Sus scrofa: one gene and its partners. The protein of the gene in region 3 purifies or fractionates together with the protein of the main gene of each other region. This does not show direct contact. Links are inferred from orthologs where the notes say so. Each region holds a gene or a part of one and is shown on either strand. Other genes may lie near its edges. The genes, in order: DAAM1, RAP1GDS1 and RHOC.

Evidence for each region.
Region 1: the proteins of RHOC (region 3) and DAAM1 purify together in Homo sapiens (affinity purification with mass spectrometry; 3 studies listed by BioGRID and IntAct, counting the BioPlex papers as one, with this or other methods). This does not show direct contact. The link is inferred for Sus scrofa from reciprocal best matches to the Homo sapiens genes RHOC and DAAM1.
Region 2: the proteins of RHOC (region 3) and RAP1GDS1 purify together in Homo sapiens (co-immunoprecipitation; 3 studies listed by BioGRID and IntAct, counting the BioPlex papers as one, with this or other methods). This does not show direct contact. The link is inferred for Sus scrofa from reciprocal best matches to the Homo sapiens genes RHOC and RAP1GDS1.

Annotation. Positions count from the first base shown.
Region 1 is NC_010443.5:188,460,830-188,464,419, reverse strand, and holds part of DAAM1 (disheveled-associated activator of morphogenesis 1), read right to left. Parts: intron 3,128-3,590; coding exon 3,033-3,127; intron 364-3,032; coding exon 30-363; intron 1-29. UniProt on the Homo sapiens protein: Binds to disheveled (Dvl) and Rho, and mediates Wnt-induced Dvl-Rho complex formation. May play a role as a scaffolding protein to recruit Rho-GDP and Rho-GEF, thereby enhancing Rho-GTP formation. Can direct nucleation and elongation of new actin filaments.
Region 2 is NC_010450.4:122,004,559-122,008,928, reverse strand, and holds the start of RAP1GDS1 (rap1 GTPase-GDP dissociation stimulator 1), read left to right. Parts: upstream 1-1,519; 5' UTR 1,520-1,742; coding exon 1,743-1,746; intron 1,747-4,370. UniProt on the Homo sapiens protein: Acts as a GEF (guanine nucleotide exchange factor) for the Rho family of small GTP-binding proteins (G proteins) that stimulates the dissociation of GDP to enable subsequent binding of GTP.
Region 3 is NC_010446.5:107,731,727-107,735,744, forward strand, and holds the start of RHOC (rho-related GTP-binding protein RhoC), read left to right. Parts: upstream 1-1,175; 5' UTR 1,176-1,404; coding exon 1,405-1,423; intron 1,424-3,303; coding exon 3,304-3,467; intron 3,468-4,015; coding exon 4,016-4,018. UniProt on the Homo sapiens protein: Regulates a signal transduction pathway linking plasma membrane receptors to the assembly of focal adhesions and actin stress fibers.

The DNA of each region.
Region 1 (3,590 bases), on a different chromosome or scaffold from region 3:
GAGGCCTGAATGAAGAAGGAAGCACCCACCTGAAAACGGGTTCTTTCGCTGGCATACTTCTGGTAGTGCAGCATGGCCTGCAGAACCTTCTTGTGGCCCCCGGGAACCAGGCACACAGCGCCCAAGATTTCCAGCACGGCTACCTTCGTTTTAATGTTCTCTGTACTCAGACTCTGAGCAATTACATTAATACTCTCAGAATGAGCCAGGACGTGAGCCCGACCTTGAGAGTTGTTCATGAGTGCCTTTATACATCCAATGAGAGAGGTATGTATTCGAGACTCCGAGGTCTCGTAGTCCATGGTCTTTAAAAAGTTGAGAATACATGACAGGCCATCCAAGTCGATGAATCTGGTTACAAACCTGTCATAAAAAGAAGGATGAAATGTACCAGACTTAAGTCTCTTTGGAATTAAAAAAAATTTTTTTATAGTTGAATTACAATGTTGTGTCAATTTCTGCTGTACAGCATGGTGACCCAGTCATATATATACATATGTATATACACAAACACATTGTTTTTCTCATTATCTTCTATTATGTTCTATCGCGAGTGACTGGATACACTTCTCTTTGGAATCTTTTAATAGCTCTTAATGGAAAAGTTTCAGGGCAGGAGTAGGCAGGAGAAAGTAAGAAGATGTAGCTCTGAAAGTACCAAAAGAAACACCAGATCCTTTAACCCACTGTGCCGGGCAGGGGATTGAACCAGCGTCCTGGTGTTTCAGAGATGCCACCCATCCCGTTTCACCACAACAGGAATTTCGCTGATGAAGTTTTCTTAATTGGGCTCTTCCTTGGCACAGACCTAATGGTCAGTCTAACCAGAAGTGTGAAAAAAATTTCCATTTGAATTAATAAAATCTTAACTGATATAATCAATTAACATATCTTATAACCACAGAACATCAGGAACGAGAAGACATTGAGAATATCCACCTGAGGTTAAAGTCATCTGCTGATCTTGTGTTATTATAGCATCCAGTCCCCACGTACTTTTATGTGTTGGCCACTGACCAAAGGCTGCCCCATATCCATGAAAGTCAGAGGGCATCCTTAAACTCTACGATAATAACTTGCCAAATTATATTTCCTTAAGGTTTACAGCAAAAACATTCTTTTGTATGACCTGATACATGGCATCCCAATATATAAAGCAATACTTTATTACTGTGCCCTAATCTTATTAATATTTACATTACTTACTTATTGTAAAGTCAATCAATAAGAATAATTCATATTGCACATCTGCAGGTTAAGCCTCTGAAAAGTTCAGAAGTAACATAACCTACTGATGAAACCACTCCAGAATTTCCAAACTTATTTAGCCTTGGATGCTCATTAACATCTGAGAATTCAGAACACACATACAGAAGGAAACACTGTTAAGACAGGCTAGAAAACTTATGTTATACAACTGTATATAATTTTTGAGGAATCAGTGGATTTTTCTTAGCATTTTACAAACATAGTGAATCTTTATTTTCCAGCCATCACATCGACCACATGATCTAGATACAGCCAAGCTTCATTCATAGCACTTGTGCTAATAAAATGTACCTTCAAGCACCCCCATCTCCCACCAAAACTTAGAGGCATTAGTGGAAAATGAAGGTGTGAGAGGTAAAAGTAGAAGCTGATTGCCCATCCCTCTCTTTCTTTTTTCTTTTTCTTTTTAGGGCCGCACCTGCAATATATGGAAGTTCCCAGGCTAAGGGTAGAATCAGAGCTGCAGCTGCCAGCCACAGCCATGCCAGATCAGAGCCACAACCTATTCCACTTGGATCCTTAACCCACTGAGTGAGGCCAGGGATAAAACAAGCATCCTCATGGATACTATGTCAGGTTCTTAACCTGCTGAGCCACAATGGGAACTCCATTAGTTTGCCCATCTATTTCTTTTATTACAGTTTTATTCAGATATAATTCACATGCCATAAAATTCATACTTTCAAATGTACAATTCGGTGGCTTTTAGTTAATTGAACCATGGATGAAATACTTTAATTATTGAACATTCAATGAATTGTCTTCAATTAAAAGATATGCAGACTTAAGCCATTAAATGGCTAAAATTAAAAAAAAAAAAAAGAGAGAGAGAGAGACTAAGAAGCATTGGTAGAGATGGTATAGATGGAGGGAATGTAAAATGGTGCAACCACTTTGGAAAACCCCTGGGCAGTTCCTCAGTGTTAAACATAGTGTTGCCACATGACCCAGCAATTCTACTCCTGATATACAGGGAAGTGAAAGCTGTGCAACACTGTCACTATCTGATTTTAGAATACTCGAATCACCCCCAAAAGACCATTTCCCTCTCTCTCTGGTTCTCTGTATGGATTGGCTTTTTATGGATATTTCATATAAATGAAATCACATAATAAGTGGTTCTTCGTGTCTGGCTTTTTTCACTTTGCATGATTACTTTCAAGGCTCATCTGTGTTGGAGCATATATCAGTATTCCATTCCTTTTAATGGCCGAAAAATATTCCATTGTGTGGCTATATTGCATTTTACTTATCAATTCATCAATTGATAGAATTTAGGGGTTTCCAAATTCTCGCTACTATAAATAATAGTGCCATACACATACAAGGTTTTAGGGGACATATTTTCACTTCCCTTGGCTATACATCAAGGAGTAGAATTACTGGGTCACATGACAGCACTATGTTTAACACTGAGAACTGCCTAACCATCTTCCAAAGTGGTCACACCATTTTACATTCCCAACACCTATACCATCTGCACCAATGCTTCTTAGTTTCTCTCTCTTTAATTTTAGCCATTTAATGGCTTAAGTCTGCATACCTTTTACCAAAGATAAACAATTTATTGAATGTTCAATAATTAAAGTATTTCATCCATGGTTCAATTACATGTTTTTAAAACTTCCTCAAAAGTTTGGCTAGTGTTAAAAAAAAAAAAAGACAAGAGAAGGAAGAAAAAAAGAAGGGAGGAAGACCACAAAAAAAAAAAGAAAAGAAAAAGAGAAGAGACAAGTAGTACTTGCAACCCAATAAAAAATCACCTCATTGGTTTCGTCCTTAATGCTGTCTTCAAACTCTCAATAGTTTTACTTCTCTCTTCTTCCTCTTCCTTCTCTAAAGCCAGCAGAGATTTTCTCTATGCAGAGAAAACAAAGTTACTTTTGAATTTCTCTGTTTTAATTATGGTACAAATAAGACAAGCCCACAGATTACAGGCTACTATCACTTTTAATACATATAATCAATAAGACTACAACTAAGATTTACTATAAGCCAAAAGGTAGAGCAAAAGCTTCAAGAATTCCACAAATTCATTCTATTGCAGATTAGTCCTTTAGAATTTAGGTAATGCTTTAAGGAAATGTTGAGAAATCTTAGAAGAGATTAAGTTATCCAAACACTTATATAACCATTCCATAACTACATTCTGATGAAGATATTACTATTTCCATTTGATAGAAGATCAGACCTGCAGTTAAATGTAACATTCTGGCAACTGAAGCTAATAACATTATCACATGATCAAATACAGTCAAGCAGCAATTTTCCCATGCTATTGCTCCCATCCCTCAGCAAAAAAAAAAAAAAAAAAAGGAATC
Region 2 (4,370 bases), on a different chromosome or scaffold from region 3:
TTGGGCATCAGAACAGTCTAATAACTTTGACATCTATAGTTACATTGTATTTTCTTGTTTTTCCAAACCTCTCCTCCTTTTTGTTTCATTTTTGTTTTAGAAAATCTGCCCTGCTCAACAAATTACAAGGCCTATTTTGACTTGTGTGCTTTGTAGTATCAGTCATATAAATGGAAACGGATCTGACTGTAAGAGGGCCGCTGATGAAGGGCAGGGAGCACCTTTTCTCAACATTGGGCTGAAAGAGTAAAAGTTGAAAAAGAGAAATTTCCATTTAGCTATTCAGCATCTCCCTCCTACAGGCTGTGCTACTGCCTGCGCCCTTTCCCCGCCTAGACCGTAGTTGCTGCCGCCTGGGGAGACCGACCTGACTCCTCACCCCAACCACCGAGAGTCGGGGCGCGACCAGAGTGCAGGGAACGGGAAGGTTTCCCCCAGCCTCCTCCCGCAGGGCGGAGGACGCAAGACCAGCCTCTGTCTCGCGCGCATGCCCAGTTGGGAGGGTGCCCTCAAAAGGGAGCGCCCAGCTCAGGTTGTCCCCGCCGCTGGGGAGGTGCGGGGAGCAGGCGCTGGCCCCGTGGTCCAAGGAAACTCCGGCGTTCGACCCGATGGGGCCGCAGCCAACTGGGCGGACTTTTGGTTTCCTGCCTTGGCAACCTGTTCCCGCCGCGTTTAAAGGGAGCGGGGCAAAGATGGGCACATCCGAGGAGGGTGGCGCCCGACGGCCAGGGCACCCTTGTGACATGGCTTTTCGGGTGTCCTCCGGGGAAAGGAAGGCCGCGCTCCCCTAGGAAGGAGAACGATACGCTCCGAAGAAATCCCGGGGCGGTCACTCCTCTCGCTGCCGGGAACCTCTTTTAAACTGGCCGCAGCCAGGACAGACTTAACTGTCCCACTGATGTGCCCGCTAATGTTAAGCGCCCTTCCCGCGGCCACCTCCCTTCTCTGTGCCCAGCGGGCCCACACGGCTGCTCTGAAAACAAGCGTCCTCAGATATCTGTCTCCAGAGGCGCTGGCCTCATCGCCAGCATGTCCATGCCGGCCCCGTTTCAGGACGACTGCCTTGCTTCCCGACCACCCTCCCGGGTCTGAGGCGGCCCAGGGTCTCCTCCTTCGGGAAATTCCCGCCTGTGCACCCGGCCTGTCGGGTAATGAAGACTGGCCCGTTTTCCGGGTGTGGGTTGGCCAGGTCGGGGTAGCGACCTGGAAGGTAATAGTTCGGGCACAGCGTCCCGGTACCCAGCCTGCCCAGGGCCTACCCTCCGCCCCTCCGGCGGCAGCCATCAAGCTCCTCCGCGGCGGCTGCAGCCGGCCCGCAAACACACGCCCACCCGCACGCTCAGATTGACTTGCCCCGGGGGGAAAAAAAAGGGAGGCACTGAGCATGCTCGGCGGGGAGGGCGGGGCGCTCCCGGAGTGCGCGTCGGGGCGGGCGCTCCTCCGGCCGGCTCGGCGCCTCCGCCGCCTGCCCGCTCCGAGCTGCGCCCGCCGCAGGCTGCGCCCGCCCCGCCCTACCCCGCCCCGCCCCCCGCCGCTCGTCCCCGCCGCGGCCGCGCTGCCTGCAGCAGCAGCAGCAGCGGCAGCAGCAGCGGCAGCACCAGCTGCTCCTCCCCGGCGGCCGCCCCCCGCGGGTCCCTCCCTGGTTGCGGGAGAGACAGAGGTAGAGGGAGGACACAGCGCCGCGCCGCCCGCACCGGAGACCTTCGCCTCGACCTGCCGGCTCCTCACCCTCTGGGAGGAACATGGGTAAGTCATCCTTCCTCCCCCGTCATCGCCTGACATATTTCTCTTTCTCGGCGTGGTGCAGGGTGGGAAGCATTTCTCGCGCAAAGTTGCCGGATTTCTCCAGTCCACCGGGGTGAGGCAGTGGCTGTTTCTCCGGGGAGAGTCGGCGCACGCGGAACGCACGCCGGGTCCCAGGGCTGGGAGGGTCCAGAGTGCGGGGTGGGGTCGGGCCGCGGGGCCGGACCGCCGCCCGGCTCTCGGGCACCTCGCTGCCTCGCCTCCCCTCCTCCATTCTTCCTGCCCGAGCCGGTGCCCGGGCACCACGGAGCCTGCCCCGCGGGCTCGCATCCGCTGCCCCATCCCGGTTTCTTCAGAGGCCGCCGGCTTCCTTCCCCTCGCGGCTGCTGGGCTGGAGACTCGGGTCCGACCGCTAGAAAGACCACTTCACGTAACTTCCCTGTCTGGGCGACCTTTCCCCATCTTGGGGACTGCTCATCCCGAGGCGGGGAAGTGGGAGCAAGTAGTTTGTGGGGGTGATTTTACAACCTGCACGGAAATTATTTTCGGTGGGGGAGAGCGGACAGTCTCATAGGTTGAAAGGATGACTTGTCAGAGGCCACGAGGAACGTGAGGCAGGATGGATAGAGCCGCTAGCTGTTGAATTCGTGTTGGGTGACTACAGTGTGCACTATTCCGGTGTTCAACGCATTTTCTTGGCTCCTTCGCCTGTCTCCTGTAGCACGAAACTGCACCCTGCCTGTCTGTAACATGGTACCGAACTTACATACTAGTAATGCTTTCCCAGCTTCCCTTGTCGGAATCTATATAATGCGATTTTAGTTCCTTCGTGTTTGTGATTAATCTTAAGAGTTTGGGATGAGATATTTAAGAGTTGGGATGAGATGTTTTACAAAGCTACATATAATTAATCCTACTTTTTCATAATATGTTGCTTCATTGTTAAGTTCAGTAATTGCAAAAACGTCTGGTGGCTACGGTAATGTGATTAAAAGACGAAACATTTTTAAAAATTGTAGCGGTTTGGAATGCCATGCTTCTGCCTGTTCCCCAGTTTGCTTCCATTCCTGTCATAGTTTCTTTCTTCTTTTTAAAATTTGCTCCTTTGGCACCTGTCAACTCAGACTTTCCCCACCCCTTCCTTGCAAGTTATTTTAAGCTTGAGATGAGTGTGGACCTTTTATCTGTCAGTCTGGTGCCCAACACGTCCAGAGTTAGGTCATGGCAACTCAAAATCTTCAAGGAAATATCTAAATCTAGAAATGGTGTCTATGGAGCTCACTCGAAGAGCAAATGCTCCAAGCTCTGATTCAGACCTTTGGCGGAAGAGGTCATTTTTGCAAGAGGAGGTATAAATCTAGGACACTGAATTTTGTTTTCTGTTGTTCAGTTTTTTCCTTTTTAATGTGCTGTAGGTATGCTGAACATATTTCTGTAAAAGTTTGGTGGCCCATTTATTATTTATATAAATTTCTCTGGGAGTAGAATTTTAAATAAATATCAGTTCAGATTATTGGATACCTTGTGTCTTTCCTTTGAACATTGCAAAGGTTTTCTACTTAATTACAGGCCACAAGTAAAATAATTAACCCGAAAATCTTTGCTTGATTTCAAAGAGAGTCCAAATAGAAATCCATCTCTCATTTGAAGCTTCTCAGATACTCGGATTAAATCACCCTCTCTCCTCATACCATTCTGTTTGTACCTTGTTGGAAGCTTTTTAGACCTTACATAATCTGCTTTATAACAGAGTTGTTTATGTGTTTGTATTGTGCATTTAATCATGCATTCTAGAAGGTGAAAATTACGTCGTTTTAATTTCAGGGTCCTCCACAGTGCTTTCTACATAGTAGGTATTCAGTAAATCTTTGGTAAATTAATTATTGAACTGGAAACCTATCTATTATTTTCAACTGGGGAACCTGAAAGTCTGGGCCCTGAACAGACATTTGGGTTGATAGATTTTGTGCAGGTGGTGGAGGTGTGGAGGAACTGGGTACAGAGAAGTATAATTATACTGTGACTGCTCTTCTCTTTCTCTCAAAAAAAAAAAAAAAAAGTTGTGTCGTCTCAGATGTGTGGGTTTTGGAACAGCCACTAGGCAAGCTATTTCTTCCTACACTGCTCTTTTCAATGGTAAGGTGGTTTTGTTTACCATCAGTAGACATATACAATAATGTAAAATTGAAACATTGAAAGACAATATTATATTCTAAGCCAAGGAAGTTATTATAGCAATTCCTATATACATAAGGGTATACTGATAAGCGATAGGGGTCAAAAAAATCGCTAATGTCATTTTCATAAGTAAATATGGTGATTTTTAAAGAAGATATTGTTATGGCAGTGATTTTTCTCCAGAAGAAAGTGAAGGAAACTTCCAATGTAACCTTATGGACCATGTCTATTATTTTTATGTATACATTTATATATATATATACTTAAAATTCAGTGTGTACTTAATATTTCTTGTATACCTACCGTGGGAGGAGAAAGATCAAGAAGACATTCGTTTTTCAGGTTGCTTACAATCTTAACAGGAATGATACATACACAGATAACATTAATAGAAATAAAGTATGAGTGGCACGGAAGACCTTTACGTATCATATAGATTCAGAGGATGG
Region 3 (4,018 bases):
CCCCCTGCGGGCCCGCCCCTCCCGCGAGTCGCCCCTCCCGCCGCGGCGAAGAAGGAGGGCGGGGCGGTGCCCCTCGGGTCAGTCTGCCTCCGGCACCGGCCGCGCAGCTGGGAGCGGTGGAGCGGAAGGTACCTCGGGTTAGGGCTGGGGGCGGCGGGGTTGTCCTGGGAACTCGTCCCCGGCAGAGCACTTTCCCCCTTCTCCGCTTGGCCGGAGCTCGGGGCGCCGGCCGGGGAGGAGGGGCTTTGGCCCGAGTACGGGCCGCCTGCCCTCCCCTTGGACGCGGCGCCTGGGCGGCGCGGGGGTCGGCCGGGCTCGGCCCCTCCCTGCCCTCCTGGGCCGCCGTGAGGCGCCCCGGGAATTGCCCCGCAGGGCCTGTCGTCTCTTGGTGTCCAAGCCGGAGTCCCTTGCCTTCCCCTCCCGACTTCCCGGAACCTGCCCGGCCGGGCGAGGGGAAATGGGGCAACTTGGGTCTCTGCGAGGAAGCCCCAGGCCAGACGCTCTAGTTTCCAGGCCCGGCGGCCCGCTGTGGACCGGGGCTGGGGTGTGGGTCCCGGTCCGAGTCCGGATGGAGGAGGGAATTCCCCTCGCCGGGCTGGTGGAGTGGCGGGAATAGGGGCTGGGTGTGACCGTGGGGGCGGCCACTGTTCCGGGGGTCTGGCCGTCGCCCTAGATGGTTTCTGGAGTCGGCCTGGAGTGGGAGGTAGGGGAGATTGGGAAGGATCCAGCTCGTGCGTGTGTGTGTGAGTTCAAGAATCTCCTCCCTTCCAACCCCCCCACCCGCCTTCACACTTCCCAACCCGGCTAGAGAGTGTCCTGGGGGTTTGGGCTGGAGGCCCCAAGGCTGAGTCCTGCCATCACTTCTAGTTTTCACGTTCAGGAGGACGTATCTGATTTCTTCCCTGGACCTCAGGGGTGGCCAGCAGGGTACTGCAGCCCCTGGTTCATCTGGGAATCTACAGGATGGAGGAGAGGGCAGCTGTTTAGTCCCAAGGAAGGCCCCAGGAGTTCAGGTTCCATTCCAGTCCAGTGTGGGGTTTGGTTGCCTCTCTGAGGGTCAGTGGGGCAGTTCTTCAGGGGCCGCCTCTCACAGGGAGCTGTTGTCCTTGCCATCTTGGCCTTGGGCCTGGTGGCCTGGGCCAACTACTCTACTGAGCTTGAAGGGAAAGTCTTATGATTGAGCTGGGGGCTCCAGGTAATTTAATGCATGCTCTTGCCCCGGAGTTCTGGCCTCTGCCCCCCACCATCTGGTGCCACCTAAACTGTCCTGCTGGGGGTGGGCAGTGGCACATTCATGCCTAAGCAACTGGCAGTCACCCCAGTGGTGAATGCCCTCCAGCCCTCCATCAGCAGGGCCCTGCCCGGGTTGGGGCCACCCCAGCCTGTTTTCCCACCGCTGGACCAATGGAACTTGTGGGAGCAGGTAAGCGAGTTTTGGTCACCTGGGTAGAGTTTCCAGGGACACTCCCCCCTTTTCTGAAGGATGGTTTCCATTTTTGGAAGGGATCTGCTGGCAGGGTGAATGCCTTCTTGTTTGTCTTTTGGGGTGTCAGGGGGAGCCCCTGTTGTGGTGGGGAGAGTGGCTGTGCACTCTCAACTCCTATAAATTCCCTCTGACTCATATCCACTTCCCCTCATCCCAGTTGTGTGTGTGTGTGTGTGTGTGTTTGTGTAGGGGAGGGAGGCCACCCAGGATCCCACTGTGGAAGAAAACTTGTCTTGGGCTGGGATATTCGCCTCTTAAAAGACAGACCAAGGCAGGGGTGTGAAGTGATGCTGGTGTGGGGAGAGTGAAGGAGTTGAGTCTAGAACGACAGGATGTGGGACTGAGAGAAAAAGCCAGGTTTGGGGCAGAGATCGGGTTACCATCTCCTCCTTTCTTAACTGCTCCCTGCCTGGTTGGTGCTGGGACTCATTTGTCTCTTTTTTGGGGCTCCTCCCAGCACTGACTCTAGCCGCCCCCCCCAGCAGCCTCGACTTCATCTCAGCTCCAGAGCCCGCCCTCTCTTCCTCCCAGGCCTCAGCCTGGGAACTCCAGCCGGCTGGAGGTCGGCTCCTCTCCCCAGGGAAGGAGGAAGTGAGGCTCAGCTCAGGGGCAGGGAAGCTAGGAAGGTGTGATGAACTGTGCAGATGCTCTTTGGTGTGTGTCGGGGGCGGGAGACACTGGAAACCCCGGGAAGCTGACTCCTTGCCCTGAGTCACAGGGAGGGGTGGGCAGGGCCTTGGGGTGAGCTGGACAGAGGGGAGGAAGGGGCTGTTCCAGGGAGTGGGTGGAGGTGATTCCCTAGTGGATTATTCTCAGTCCCTCTGCTGTGGTAGATGTGTGGCTCCCTACAGTGTGGTCATTGTCCCCTGCCTGGGGCTGAGTGACCCAGTGTTGCTGCCAGGCCCAGGAGGAAGGGGGGAGGAAGGCAGGCTGCCCGAATGTGGGCTGTGGGCACTGCCCAGACTGAGCCTCCTTTGTGTGCCTTGGGGCTCTGGGGACCAGGATGGGGTGGGCCAGGGACACCGGCTGGCTGCTGCCACTGCCCTCCATCCGTCTGCTCTCCTTCCCACCTCTGGGGTGATATGTAGAGAAGGCAGCAGACTAGTGTCTCCTGCCCTGCTTTGACTGCCATCACTGCCACGGCTCCATACACATTGTCTTAAACCTTCTGAGCCACACTTTCCTAGTTTGTCAAAATGGGAAGCCCACTTTCAACCTTCCAGGCTTCTGGGGGCTGAGGGAGGTGATTTTTGTCAGTGCGCCCCCCCATAGTGCCTGGCACCCAGGGGCGTGGTAAATATTCCTTCCCTACCCACCCATATTGGTGGGGACTCTTGGTTTTTCTCTGGGCACGCATGACTGTGCTGAGTGAGGGACAGTGTGTTCTAGATTGGACATTTGAGATAATTAAATTTGAAAAGTATCAAGATCCTGGTAACAAATAAGTCTGACTTGATACCCTGCTATGTAGAGCAAATAAAAGCTGCTGCTTCAGACACCTGTCTAGGTGTCCAGGGGCCCACACTTGGTGAGTGGATTAGATTAGAACTCATGTTTTCTGGCTCCCAAGTGGGTGGTTCTTCCACCTCCCACTTCTGTGTTCTAACCCATGGGGGCAGGTCTGTCTCTGACCCTGAGATTAAGAATTTCAAGCTCAGTTGCTTCAACAATTGGTTCTTGGCAAGAAGGTGCCTGAGCAAAAAGCCCCTCTCCCTCCCTTCCTTCCGTGGTTTCCAGGGAGGTCTTGGGGGGCCCTAGAGACGTGTTTTTGGACTTCGTGGCTTTCCCCAACATCCCCACTGCCTCTTCTTTGCTAGCCCCAGCCATGGCTGCCATCCGAAAGAAGCTAGTGATTGTGGGGGACGGGGCCTGTGGGAAGACCTGTCTCCTCATCGTCTTCAGCAAGGATCAGTTCCCAGAGGTCTACGTCCCCACCGTCTTTGAGAACTACATCGCAGACATCGAGGTGGACGGCAAGCAGGTAAAGGCCAGGAGCCTCTGCTCATCGCGCCTCGGCACCCCGCCCCCAGCACTTAGGAGCCTGGGATGGCCCTCCTCTCCCCCGACCCACACCCTTGCTCCCCTCTCCCGGCTGAAAGCAGTGAAGTGAGGAAGTGCAACTGCCGTCCCTGGAAATCCAGCCTCCTGGTTCTTTACACATGCGCTCTAACCTGGGCCCAGTCCCTTGGTCTCTGGGCTTGAGCCCTGACCCCACCCCAACTATAAAATGGGAATAACAGTAGGGCCTCTTTCAAAGAGTTTCAGTGAAGATGAAATAAAACAGTGGTGCTCACAATGGCAGTTCACACTGCACAAAGACCAAACACATTGTCTCAGGGTTGAACTCACCTTATGTTGTGTGGCTGGGATGAGGACTATCCCTTGCATGTAGTAGGTGCTCAGTAGGTGCCCAGTGAACCTAAAGGACCAGGATTTCAGAGAGGACACCTGGGTGGCAGGGCGTGCGGGGGTGTGCCTGGGGCGTGCCTGGGGCCCTCAGGCTAGCGAAGCACTGGCCCTGTGTGTCAGGTG